Linked DNA regions of Arabidopsis thaliana. The protein of the gene in region 1 interacts with the protein of each later gene in a biochemical or structural test. Each region holds a gene or a part of one and is shown in the gene's direction. Other genes may lie near its edges. The genes, in order: AT4G22730, AT1G49100 and AT1G07650.

Region 1 (3,759 bases):
AAAGTCGACATTTCTACCGAGAATGGTGGAGAGATTAGTGCATTAGTCTTCCTTAATCATACAAAAACAACTGTGAAAATACAGCACTACTAAAAAGTAAAAAGTAAGAACTTTTTAATGTAGAACGTATGAGATGGTTCAATTAATCACAAGACACTTCTATGGCATTGCGTATTAAACGAAAAGTGAGTAAATAGAATTTATACATAATGATCTAATCTTGATCTTGCTAATAAAAATTGTAAAGGCAACAACAAGTTGTCAAAAATTTCAATTTGACGTAGAGATAAATTCTATCTAATAATTTTGTAAAAACATTCGAGATATAGTGTATCATTTTTCCATCATCTAGAACTCATTTGCGTATTTTCAAGTGTAAATCAGAACCTTGACACATAGGCTACACAAATTTTGGTCGATATTTATATTACTTTTGTAGCATAATGTGGATATCCTTCTAGAGACTAGAGTTCTAGATAAAACATTCATACATGTAACTATGTAAGTAAGCATGCATACTAAATATAAAATTTTCAAAAGTTTTAAAAGACATCATATAGATTCAAAAAGACGTGGGAAAAAGGAGAAAATGACAAAAGTTATTAGTAAAACAATCAAGTAAAAGGTCAAAGTAGTTAACGAAAAGATAAAAGTATTTCAAAAGTCTTCCTTCCATCTTGAAATGCCAAAAAATAAAAGACGAATGATTGAAGATAAATCAAAGTTGTCTGATTGCTATTGTATACATCTTTTTTTTTGTTAAAACTATTGTATACATCTAAAAAACCTTGAAGTAATCAAGATCTGAATTATAGCCGTTGATAAGGTTTTATGCTTTCACATTGAACTCGATCGTCGTCGTCAAATCTACTAGTCTCGTTTTTTAGTTTTAACGTGCTTAATTACTTCACTAATTTGTTTTTTGTTATCATTTTCACCAATTTTATTCATTGTGTGAATTAAGTTTTGTCCACATAGTAAGATTCATCAGTATAATAGGACATATGATAAAAGTTTGTATATAATCAAAGAGTATATCTAAGAATATCTAATTAAGATGAATGTTTCAGTCCACATTGGATTCTGCTTATAGTCAAACTGTCTTGTTCTTAAACCCAATTAGGTTAGAATACATGTACCAACAAATAGCATTTCTATAACTAATCTTTTATCAATTTACTTTATAGCCTACAAATAATTAGAGGAAAAGAAAAGAGAGTTAGTGGAATAATTGTCCTCTAAATCTCGATATCATCATTAACTAAATACTATATTTAGACCATATATACTATATTTTATAGTATACTATATTTTATAGTATATATAATCAACTAATCATATTAGACCACTATTAGAAATATGGATCTAAAAAAAACATTCTTTAATCAGTACTATTCTCATCCAAAGACTTGTTTTAAGAGACTAAATATGAATATGTGTATGTGTATGTGTATGCAGGAGTAGACACGTGCACGTGGCACATGCAGGGAATGGGAAGGTGGAGTGTTGACAAAGAAGAAGAGGATGATCCAAGTTTCGAAATGATTCCAAAAGTTATGAACTATAAGCCAAAGTGCTCAATCGCCAAACATGAACTTAAATAAACTTCACTCGTTAGATCGTTTTCTCACATTAAAGCCGCTCTACACTTTTACCCATTTTACCATTTATAATAACCACCACACATAGATATTAAGTTCTATGGATTTTATTCGTAAACTTAAGTTATGATCAAATAGCTAAATGATTTTGCGATTTGCCCGAGTTCTGTTTGTTTCTAAAATGGTTATCCAAAAAGCATATTTTTGTTTTATATAGAATTTGTGATATAGAAGAAATATACTAAAAATGTTTTAAAGTCTGTCTAAATCATAAACCAATGCAAAGAAAGTGAAATAAACCAAGATCTCGAGCAATAGACATAATAAATAAACAAACACCTAATAACATCACATCCCCACTAACAAATGTGAACATTAACTGTTAAAAATCACCAAAAAAGTCATCAAGATTTGGCTTTCCTTTTCAAAAGCAGTATACGTCTCTGTCTCACACAGACAGTGTATTCAATGCGTTGTGTTGTCTTCCCACTTTTCACCAGCTGAGGTTCTGCTTCTTTCTCTTCTTCTCTCCAAAACAAGAAAATTCTGCAGAATAACTTTTCATTCACGAGAGTGGAAGGTTACAGTTTTCCAAATCCGAGAAACAGACACAAAATTGGTCCCTCTCTAAAAGTTACTATCTTCGTTTAACAAAGAGATAGCTCCCAATCCAGTACAAAACAGAGTACTCTGCTCTATAAATTTCGTTCCTTTATTACTCTGCTCTATAAAACAGATTATTCTGCTCTATAAGAGAGATAGATAAATGAGCTAAAGCTCAGTAATTTCTAAACAGAGAGACAAGAAAATTCAAGAATGGTTACCTTATGTGCCACGTTACTGATCCTTCTCTCAATCTTTCTTGCAACTCCGTCGAATGTTCGAGGAAATGCAGAGCTGAAGGCTTTAATGGAGCTGAAATCGTCGCTTGACCCTGAAAACAAGCTTCTCCGTTCATGGACGTTTAACGGCGATCCATGCGACGGATCTTTCGAAGGAATTGCATGTAACCAGCATCTAAAAGTCGCAAACATATCATTACAAGGGAAACGTTTGGTCGGAAAATTGTCTCCGGCGGTTGCAGAGCTCAAATGTTTGTCAGGTCTTTACTTACATTACAATAGTCTCTCTGGAGAGATACCTCAAGAGATCACAAATCTTACTGAATTATCAGATCTTTATCTCAATGTTAATAACTTCTCTGGTGAGATTCCGGCAGATATCGGCTCCATGGCTGGCTTGCAAGGTTAGCATCTTATAATGTTTCACAGATCTTTCACTTGAATGTTTACTCGATCTTCCATTTGAATGTTTTGTGGTGTCTTTTGTTGCAGTTATGGATCTTTGTTGCAACAGTTTAACAGGGAAGATACCAAAGAACATTGGATCCTTGAAGAAACTTAATGTGTTGTCTCTGCAACACAACAAACTAACCGGAGAGGTTCCTTGGACTTTAGGAAACTTGAGTATGTTAAGCAGGCTTGATTTAAGCTTCAACAATCTGTTAGGTTTAATCCCAAAAACCCTAGCCAACATTCCTCAGTTGGACACTCTTGACTTGCGCAACAATACTCTCTCTGGCTTTGTTCCTCCTGGTGAGTTAATGATTCTTGAAACGTCTTTGTAAGAGCTTATCTCTCTGTTTCTTGACTCGGTTTTTTCTTCGTTATGTTTCTTCAAAGGTCTTAAGAAGTTGAATGGGAGCTTCCAGTTTGAGAACAACACCGGGTTATGTGGTATCGATTTTCCTTCTTTGAGAGCTTGTTCTGCTTTCGATAATGCGAATAATATCGAACAATTTAAGCAGCCTCCTGGTGAAATAGACACTGATAAATCAGCTCTTCACAACATTCCCGAGTCTGTATATCTCCAAAAGCATTGCAACCAAACACATTGCAAGAAATCCTCATCGAAACTCCCACAAGTTGCTTTGATTTCAAGCGTGATTACCGTCACTATAACATTGATTGGTGCTGGTATATTGACCTTCTTTCGCTACAGAAGAAGGAAGCAAAAGATCAGTAACACACCTGAGTTTTCCGAGGGAAGACTAAGCACAGATCAACAAAAAGAGTTCCGTGCATCGCCTTTAGTGAGTCTTGCCTACACTAAAGAATGGGATCCGCTAGGTGATAGCAGAAACGGAGCTGAGTTTTCA
Region 2 (3,759 bases), on another chromosome or scaffold:
CCAATATCTTTCCTCTTATTATCAACAAGACAATTTCCATCCATAGACGAAACCGGAACTTCAAACCTTTCCATTTCCTTGAGAACAGCCCGAAGATTATCGGCTTCGCGTAAAGCAAAACTCACCGTCTTGCGTTCAATCAGTCCTTCAACATACTTGTACAAACCGCATTTCACTCCCTCTTTCCTACAAAAATCAAGAACTGCCTCTTCGTGCAAAACATTGATGGCTACACCGAATGCAGAAACTGGCCAGTACTTGTCTCGGAGACGAACACCAGTATCACTTTCTTTCTTCATGACCGCACGAGCTATCTTTAGTTCAGAGCTATACTCAGCAAATTGAGCGTTAAACGCTCTTATCATAGCCGATTCAGCAGCCGTCCTACCTTTTGATGTCGCTCGCCTCTTTAGCTTCTCGCTGCGTTGCACTTCCACAACGGCTTCAATACCGGCTTTTGTTTTCATCCATTAAACTTCGTAGATTTGACGGAGATTCATCTCGTGGCTTAGAGGACAAATCCCTAGTGAGTTTGCCTTGGCTAACACGCTATCGCGTATATGGGAAGATACTAAATTATATAATGACACTGAATTGAGGCGAGTGTGTGAAAAAAGTAGACTATTCAGTTGCTGCCTTAATAAGTACGCTGCTTCATTTTCCCAAGAGGGATAAGAAGCACGCTGTTTCATTTTCCCATAAAGAAAACGAAAGAACCGAGTAGTTTAGACTTAAGTTATTTATGGATTAAATATAATTCTGTAGTATATTTTAAAAATAAAATGTTACTAAATTGTATTAAAAAAAATATAGCTTTTTGTATATATATAAGCTGTTTTTATAATTTAGCATAGCATTTGAAATAAAAACAGATTTTTGAGTGTAGCTGACTTCTGAAAGAGATTCATTAGCCACACGATGCAAACCTGGCTTGTAGGGCTTTGTCATAGTGTCGTTAATATGTTACATAATATATTAGAGATTAATTAATAGTATGTTGTTTTTGTTTTAAAACTTCCTAGACGAAAACCAAATCATGAAATAAAATATTGTATATTGCAAGTAAAAGATACATTTAATTGTTATCATATAGGAATTTTAAACTGCATGTGTGAAAATTCCTCTGTTTTTATAGAACTAAATCAAATGTTAGCATTAATTCAATTATTTTTTTAAACGTTGTTCAAGGATTGCATATTTTCTAATACGTCTGACCAGTGTGGTTAGAGTCTAAATGGAGTATTCTTGCCGTGTAACCAAACACCGCATCCATAGATCTTGATCTCCATTTGGGAGATTGCCTCTCTAGTTGGAACAAGTGAACTATCATCATCTTTTTTCTAACTTCTCTTTTTTAAAATTTTTTTTTGAAAATTGGGTGGTTTTCAACCTTCTTTTTCATAAAAAAAATCAGAATCATTAGAGTTGGATACACGTCTCAAAATAACATTCTATATCTCTCGTTGACATGTTCTCCATATGCTTTAAAACTAATTATAATCACTCGCAGTATTAACTTACCTTATCCGCATATATATATGTTCATCGAATGAAAACTATGAAGGTAAGGGTCAGCTATATATGAAGAGATGGAGTTGATCACTTAACTTAATGTCCCCAAACACAAATGAATAATTTTCTATACCAACTTGTTAGAAGCATCTATTAGGGAGTACTATTCTTTTTGCTTTTGGCACAGAGAACAACAAACTTTATACGATTTTTAGAGTTAAGCTCTTTGAAATAAAACCAGTCGGATAACAGAACTTTGAAATGACGCTTACTTATAGCCAAAGTTTCCCATAGGGAAAAACCCTAATTAGGCTAAAGGAAAAATAATTTTGTATTGAAATGTTAGAAAACGGCGCCTTAATGTTTTGAGTTAATGTTGTGAAATTGCAAATGTTAGAAAGTTCAGGGTTTTCTAGACATATTAGTATTTTATTTTGGCCGTTGACAATATATGGGTTTCGTTTCTTTAACTAGTATCCACTTGATCAGAACGTGATATAAAATAATATTTTGGAACTTAAAAAGATGTCAAGGGTCGTGTTATCCTCCAGAAATAGGAAAAATGGAGAAGTATTTTCATGGAGTTTTATGTGTGTTCATCATCACAGTTGCTTTTATACATGTTGTTCAGGCTCAAGATCCAAACGGTATTATCTTTAAACCTTTGAAATTAAGAAACACTCTTCATGTTCTTTTTCTTAATTTGTTTTTTCCTTTTCTGATAATTCCTTTACATTGATCCCCTTATTAGGATTTTTGTTTTGGTTTAATGTTTTATTAGGATTCATCACTTTGGATTGTGGTCTGTTACCTGATGGATCTCCATATACCAATCCATCTACTGGATTAACATTCACTTCGGATTCTAGTTTCATCGAGAGTGGAAAGAATGGCCGAGTCAGTAAGGACTCTGAGCGAAACTTCGAAAAAGCTTTTGTAACTCTAAGATACTTTCCAGATGGAGAGCGGAACTGTTATAACCTGAATGTCACACAAGGAACAAATTACTTGATTAGAGCAGCTTTCTTATATGGAAATTACGATGGTCTTAATACTGTCCCAAACTTTGATCTATTTATTGGCCCTAATAAGGTGACAACAGTGAATTTTAATGCAACCGGAGGTGGTGTGTTCGTGGAGATAATTCACATGTCAAGGTCAACCCCTTTGGATATTTGTCTTGTTAAGACAGGAACAACTACACCGATGATATCAACCTTGGAGCTACGACCTTTGAGAAGTGATACTTACATTAGTGCCATTGGGAGCTCCTTGCTCCTCTATTTTAGAGGTTATCTTAATGATTCAGGTGTCGTTTTACGGTACGTAAACTTTAATTTGTGAAATGAATCTTTTTCTTGGATCTTGGTATAAAAGATAATGAGTAAATATAAAAATATTTTTAATCTTTCTTTGATGCCAAACATCTTTGAGGTTTTGTCTAGCTATGTCTAATACAAGATACGTATAGGTACCCCGATGATGTCAACGACCGTAGATGGTTCCCATTCTCATATAAGGAGTGGAAAATTGTAACCACAACTCTCAATGTAAACACTTCAAATGGTTTTGATCTACCACAAGGTGCAATGGCATCGGCTGCAACCCGTGTTAATGATAATGGGACATGGGAATTTCCATGGAGCTTAGAGGATTCTACCACACGGTTTCACATTTACCTTCACTTCGCAGAGCTTCAAACTTTGTTAGCCAACGAGACTAGAGAATTCAATGTTTTGCTGAATGGAAAAGTTTATTATGGACCTTATAGTCCTAAAATGTTAAGTATAGATACTATGAGCCCCCAACCCGATTCGACATTGACATGTAAAGGAGGAAGTTGCCTCTTGCAGCTAGTGAAGACAACAAAGTCAACTCTTCCTCCTCTCATCAATGCTATTGAACTTTTTACTGTTGTTGAGTTTCCTCAATCAGAAACAAACCAAGATGAAGGTTCGTAAATTTACATTTTTCATACATATGAATTGTAGCTTTGAATGTGTTTGATTCTTGATATATTATTAACTATGAAATTCTAGTGATTGCTATCAAGAAGATCCAACTTACTTATGGATTGAGTAGAATTAACTGGCAAGGAGATCCATGTGTCCCCGAGCAGTTTTTGTGGGCTGGTTTGAAGTGCAGCAATATTAATAGTTCCACTCCACCAACAATCACTTTCTTGTAAGATTTTTCAATCACCATAACCGTATCATAATTAAAATTAAATTCTCTATTCTAAATATA
Region 3 (3,759 bases), on another chromosome or scaffold:
TGGATCGTTGGTTCTTAAAGATCAACGGTAGTAGATGGCTTTCGACTTTTCGTCATTCTCTGTGTAAACTCCATTAAACAACTAAAAAAAGCCTCCAACATAACAGATAACCCAAGACTTTTTTCTAATCTAAAGGCCCATATGTGAGTAGTAGGCCCAAATTGACCCAAAAAAGGGAGCAAAAAGCTCACGTGGCAGCAAGTACCCTACACACGAAGGTGCATGTTGTCGACCACGTGTTGAGCTCACCGTAAAGAGAGATCCTATGTGAGGTTTGATGATGAGCATTTCCAAGGATTTCATCGGATCGAAATCAGAATCATAAGACTGGGAAAAAATGGCAGCTAATATGATGAGACCGGCGTTTGCTTACACTGTTGTGTACGTGAAGGACGTAGCTAAATCTGTAGAATTCTACTCTAGAGCTTTTGGTCACAACGTCCGTCGTCTTGACGAATCCCACAGGTTTGTATTATGAATTGTTACTATTCTCTACGTTGGATTGTCTTAGGTGTTGTTGGATACGATCATAGGAATGTAAACGACAGAATCGTATTAGGTCATGAAACAAAACTCTCGGGTTTGAGATTCTATTGGTGCGATGTCCTATAATCAGGTCCGATCCGCTGGCTAACATGCTAAGCAAACACACCAAATATATATGTTTGATGAATGAAAGAAACTGATACATACAGGTGGGGGGAGCTAGAGAGCGGGCAAACCACGATAGCGTTCACACCGCTTCACCAGCATGAGACCGACGACCTAACCGGGAAGGTTCAGGCTACGCAGTCAGCACGTGAAAGAGCACCCATCGAAGTCTGCTTCTGTTACCCTGATGTTGATGCCGCTTTCAAGGTAGAAATCAATTATTATATACTTATGTCTATATTTGCCTGTTACTCTTCAATTCGTACGTGTTGATAAACCAGTGAGATGCTGCGTTGTGCAGAGAGCGGTGGAGAACGGTGCGGAGGCAGTGAGCAAGCCGGAAGATAAAGAATGGGGGCAGAAGGTTGGATACGTGCGAGACATTGACGGCATTGTTGTACGCATCGGAAGCCACGTTAAGTGAATTCAAAATAAAGACTCGTAAAATATGATCATTAACTAGTCTATATACATATGAATAAATATTACAAGATACTTTGGTACCTTTGTTAATTATGGTTGATGTCTTGATGAATATATTTACTTAAAGCAACATGTAAAGTAAAAAGATATACAAAGTGTCCAGCCTAGTCCCCACACTCCCCTCTCTCAATTCGTTTTTTCTTTGTTAGTATCGTTACACAAAGTAGGAAACGATGTTATGATCAAAATCATAATAGTTGGATTTTTCTCCTATCCTAGTTATCTTAAACATTTATCAAATGATTCCGCGACCCAACAAAATAACAAACGAAAGAGAGTGTAAAGTTCCTTTTACCTTTTTTCTTTTTATCTTTTGTCGTAGTCGTAGTTTCGTATGTTTGTGAGTACTTTGGCTTTCCAAATTAATACGACTGGCTGTCTATCAAAGTAGCTAAACCAATAATGTAAAGATCTGTCGTATGTGGTCTTTGAAACCCAAATCAATTGTTTGTTTTATAACAATAATTGATTCTTGATTTTTGTCAAATAGAACTTATCAACAATAATTGATGAGACTCGATTATCCGCTGAAAATATTTTTATAATTATTTTAGGAGGAAGGTATCATATATATACTACTTTTCATTGTTTGCCGGCTAAATAATTTTAGGAATTGCTGACACTTAGTATAAAACATTGAACATAAGATAAGAAACTTGTTTAATATTTAAAATTCTTTACTTCCTATTTCTTAATATAATACAGAAATATTTGTATCTTTTTAACAACCAAATAAATCTTTAACCAAAACATAGACTAGTACTCTTAAAGCAAAACATAGACTAATCTCATACAAGGACTAATCCCAAAATCGCTTGGGGATATAATTTCTGAAGGGTCTCTGTCAAACCTTAAGAAAAGATATTTAAAAGTAGCACTGGGTCCTGATATAATATACATAATGTTTACATTACAGTATTACACACACACATATTAGAATGGGCTGAAGACCAAAATAGTTAAGAGAACATGACAAAGTACAGCAAACCTTATTAAATCCTGACGACTAAAGTGGTCAATAAGCTCTAGCTTCTCATCCATCACCACTTCCTAAATGTTTCTCTCTCTATATCTCTTGCAAGCTTTCTCGCAGAAGTGATACCATATTTTATTATTTTGTATAGAAAAAATGATATATTTACATCGCATATATTTCATCATCGTCCTCTTCACACTAATTTTCCATGGGCGTCTTGGTTTTTCCGACAACAATAAACTTCACGAGGCCGAAGGTACTACTATAAAGATTCTTCCTCTAGTCCTGTCTCTCGTCTGTATATGTGTGTGCATCTCTATGATTTGCAAATCAAAGCACTTTTTTTATCTTTGATGATGATGGTTGTTTGGTATGGTTTGAAATTGGGAAGTGAGGGCATTAAAGGAGATAGGGAAGAAGCTAGGGAAGAAAGATTGGGACTTCAACAAAGATCCATGTAGTGGTGAAGGCACTTGGATTGTAACAACTTACACAACCAAAGGGTTTGAGAGTAATATCACTTGTGATTGCTCCTTTCTTCCTCAAAACTCTTCTTGCCACGTCATTAGAATGTAAGTTTCTTCTTCTTCATCCTCCTTCCCTTTCTTATCTTCCTCTTTAATTTTACCCATTTATGGAAATTACAAATATCTTTAGCGTGTCGGTGCCAAGTCACGAATATTGGATTTCACAGTCTGTAAAACAAGTGTACGTAATACAAGTATGGAGAATTTCACAGTTTTTATTTTTCGGTTTGTTTGTGCTAAAAATAATTTCACAGGTTAGAATTCCTTTTTATTTTCATGGAATATGTTTAGCATTAATTAGTTTAAGCTAAAAGAGGGGAATTTTAGGGTAACAGAGTAGTGGCTAGTTTAATGATGGTGACAATGAAGGGGAAAACCACTAAATTCCTTGGTGAAGGTTGGTTGCAATATTGACTGCACAACTCACACTTTAATGACAACCACTAACTATATGCCTACAACGTCACGTTCTCTTTTATATAGTACTAAAACTTATTCTACTGTACTTATATAATCCCTTGTTGATAGTTTTACTATCTTACTATTTCTTTTTTATGACAGCACCATCTTACTAATTAACGTTTTGTATTAAAGGTAAATAGTAAACGATAATTTGAAGCATCGGTTTTAAGATAACTAATAAAGTAATGAGTGTAACTAAGAGTTAGGTGGATGTAAATTCACATGTGAAGTAAGATTAAAAAGCTTTAAGTTTGATTTGTCTCTTTGTGACGACAAGTTTATACTTGCCAGGCTGGTCGTTGACCCGTTGACCAAAGTAAACGATTCAATAGATAATAGCGCGTTTACTTTCGCTCTATTCCATAACTAGACTTTATATAAATCGCCAGATAAAAAACTATGATTTACATAATTCAAAAAACATTTAGTGTTAGTAAAAATTAGTTATATATTTGTGTCTCTTTAGACTGTTTGATCATTTTTTAAAATCATAATTCTTTTTAAAAAATTGTCATCAAAATCGTAACAAGTTTATGATCCAAAATAATATAAGAACAACCATGATCTGTAATTCTGTATTATCAAACAGTAACACTACTGTAAATTTGTTTCATTTTGAGATGATGAAAAATCAGAAATTATTTTTCTAGTACAAATTTC

Evidence for each region.
Region 2: the proteins of AT4G22730 (region 1) and AT1G49100 form a complex in vitro, tested with the Arabidopsis thaliana proteins (one large-scale study listed by BioGRID).
Region 3: the proteins of AT4G22730 (region 1) and AT1G07650 form a complex in vitro, tested with the Arabidopsis thaliana proteins (one large-scale study listed by BioGRID).

Annotation. Positions count from the first base shown.
Region 1 is NC_003075.7:11,938,967-11,942,725, forward strand, and holds the start of AT4G22730 (Leucine-rich repeat protein kinase family protein), read left to right. Parts: upstream 1-2,034; 5' UTR 2,035-2,417; coding exon 2,418-2,847; intron 2,848-2,935; coding exon 2,936-3,196; exon of another isoform or gene 3,197-3,283; coding exon 3,284-3,759.
Region 2 is NC_003070.9:18,168,421-18,172,179, reverse strand, and holds the start of AT1G49100 (Leucine-rich repeat protein kinase family protein), read left to right. Parts: upstream 1-2,074; coding exon 2,075-2,159; intron 2,160-2,293; coding exon 2,294-2,834; intron 2,835-2,983; coding exon 2,984-3,465; intron 3,466-3,551; coding exon 3,552-3,696; intron 3,697-3,759. Other genes in the region: AT1G49110 (uncharacterized protein), read right to left, coding at 1-467.
Region 3 is NC_003070.9:2,364,928-2,368,686, reverse strand, and holds the start of AT1G07650 (Leucine-rich repeat transmembrane protein kinase), read left to right. Parts: upstream 1-2,077; 5' UTR 2,078-2,263; coding exon 2,264-2,366; intron 2,367-2,501; coding exon 2,502-2,682; intron 2,683-3,759. Other genes in the region: DSI-1VOC (dessication-induced 1VOC superfamily protein), read left to right, coding at 338-465, 696-858, 953-1,075.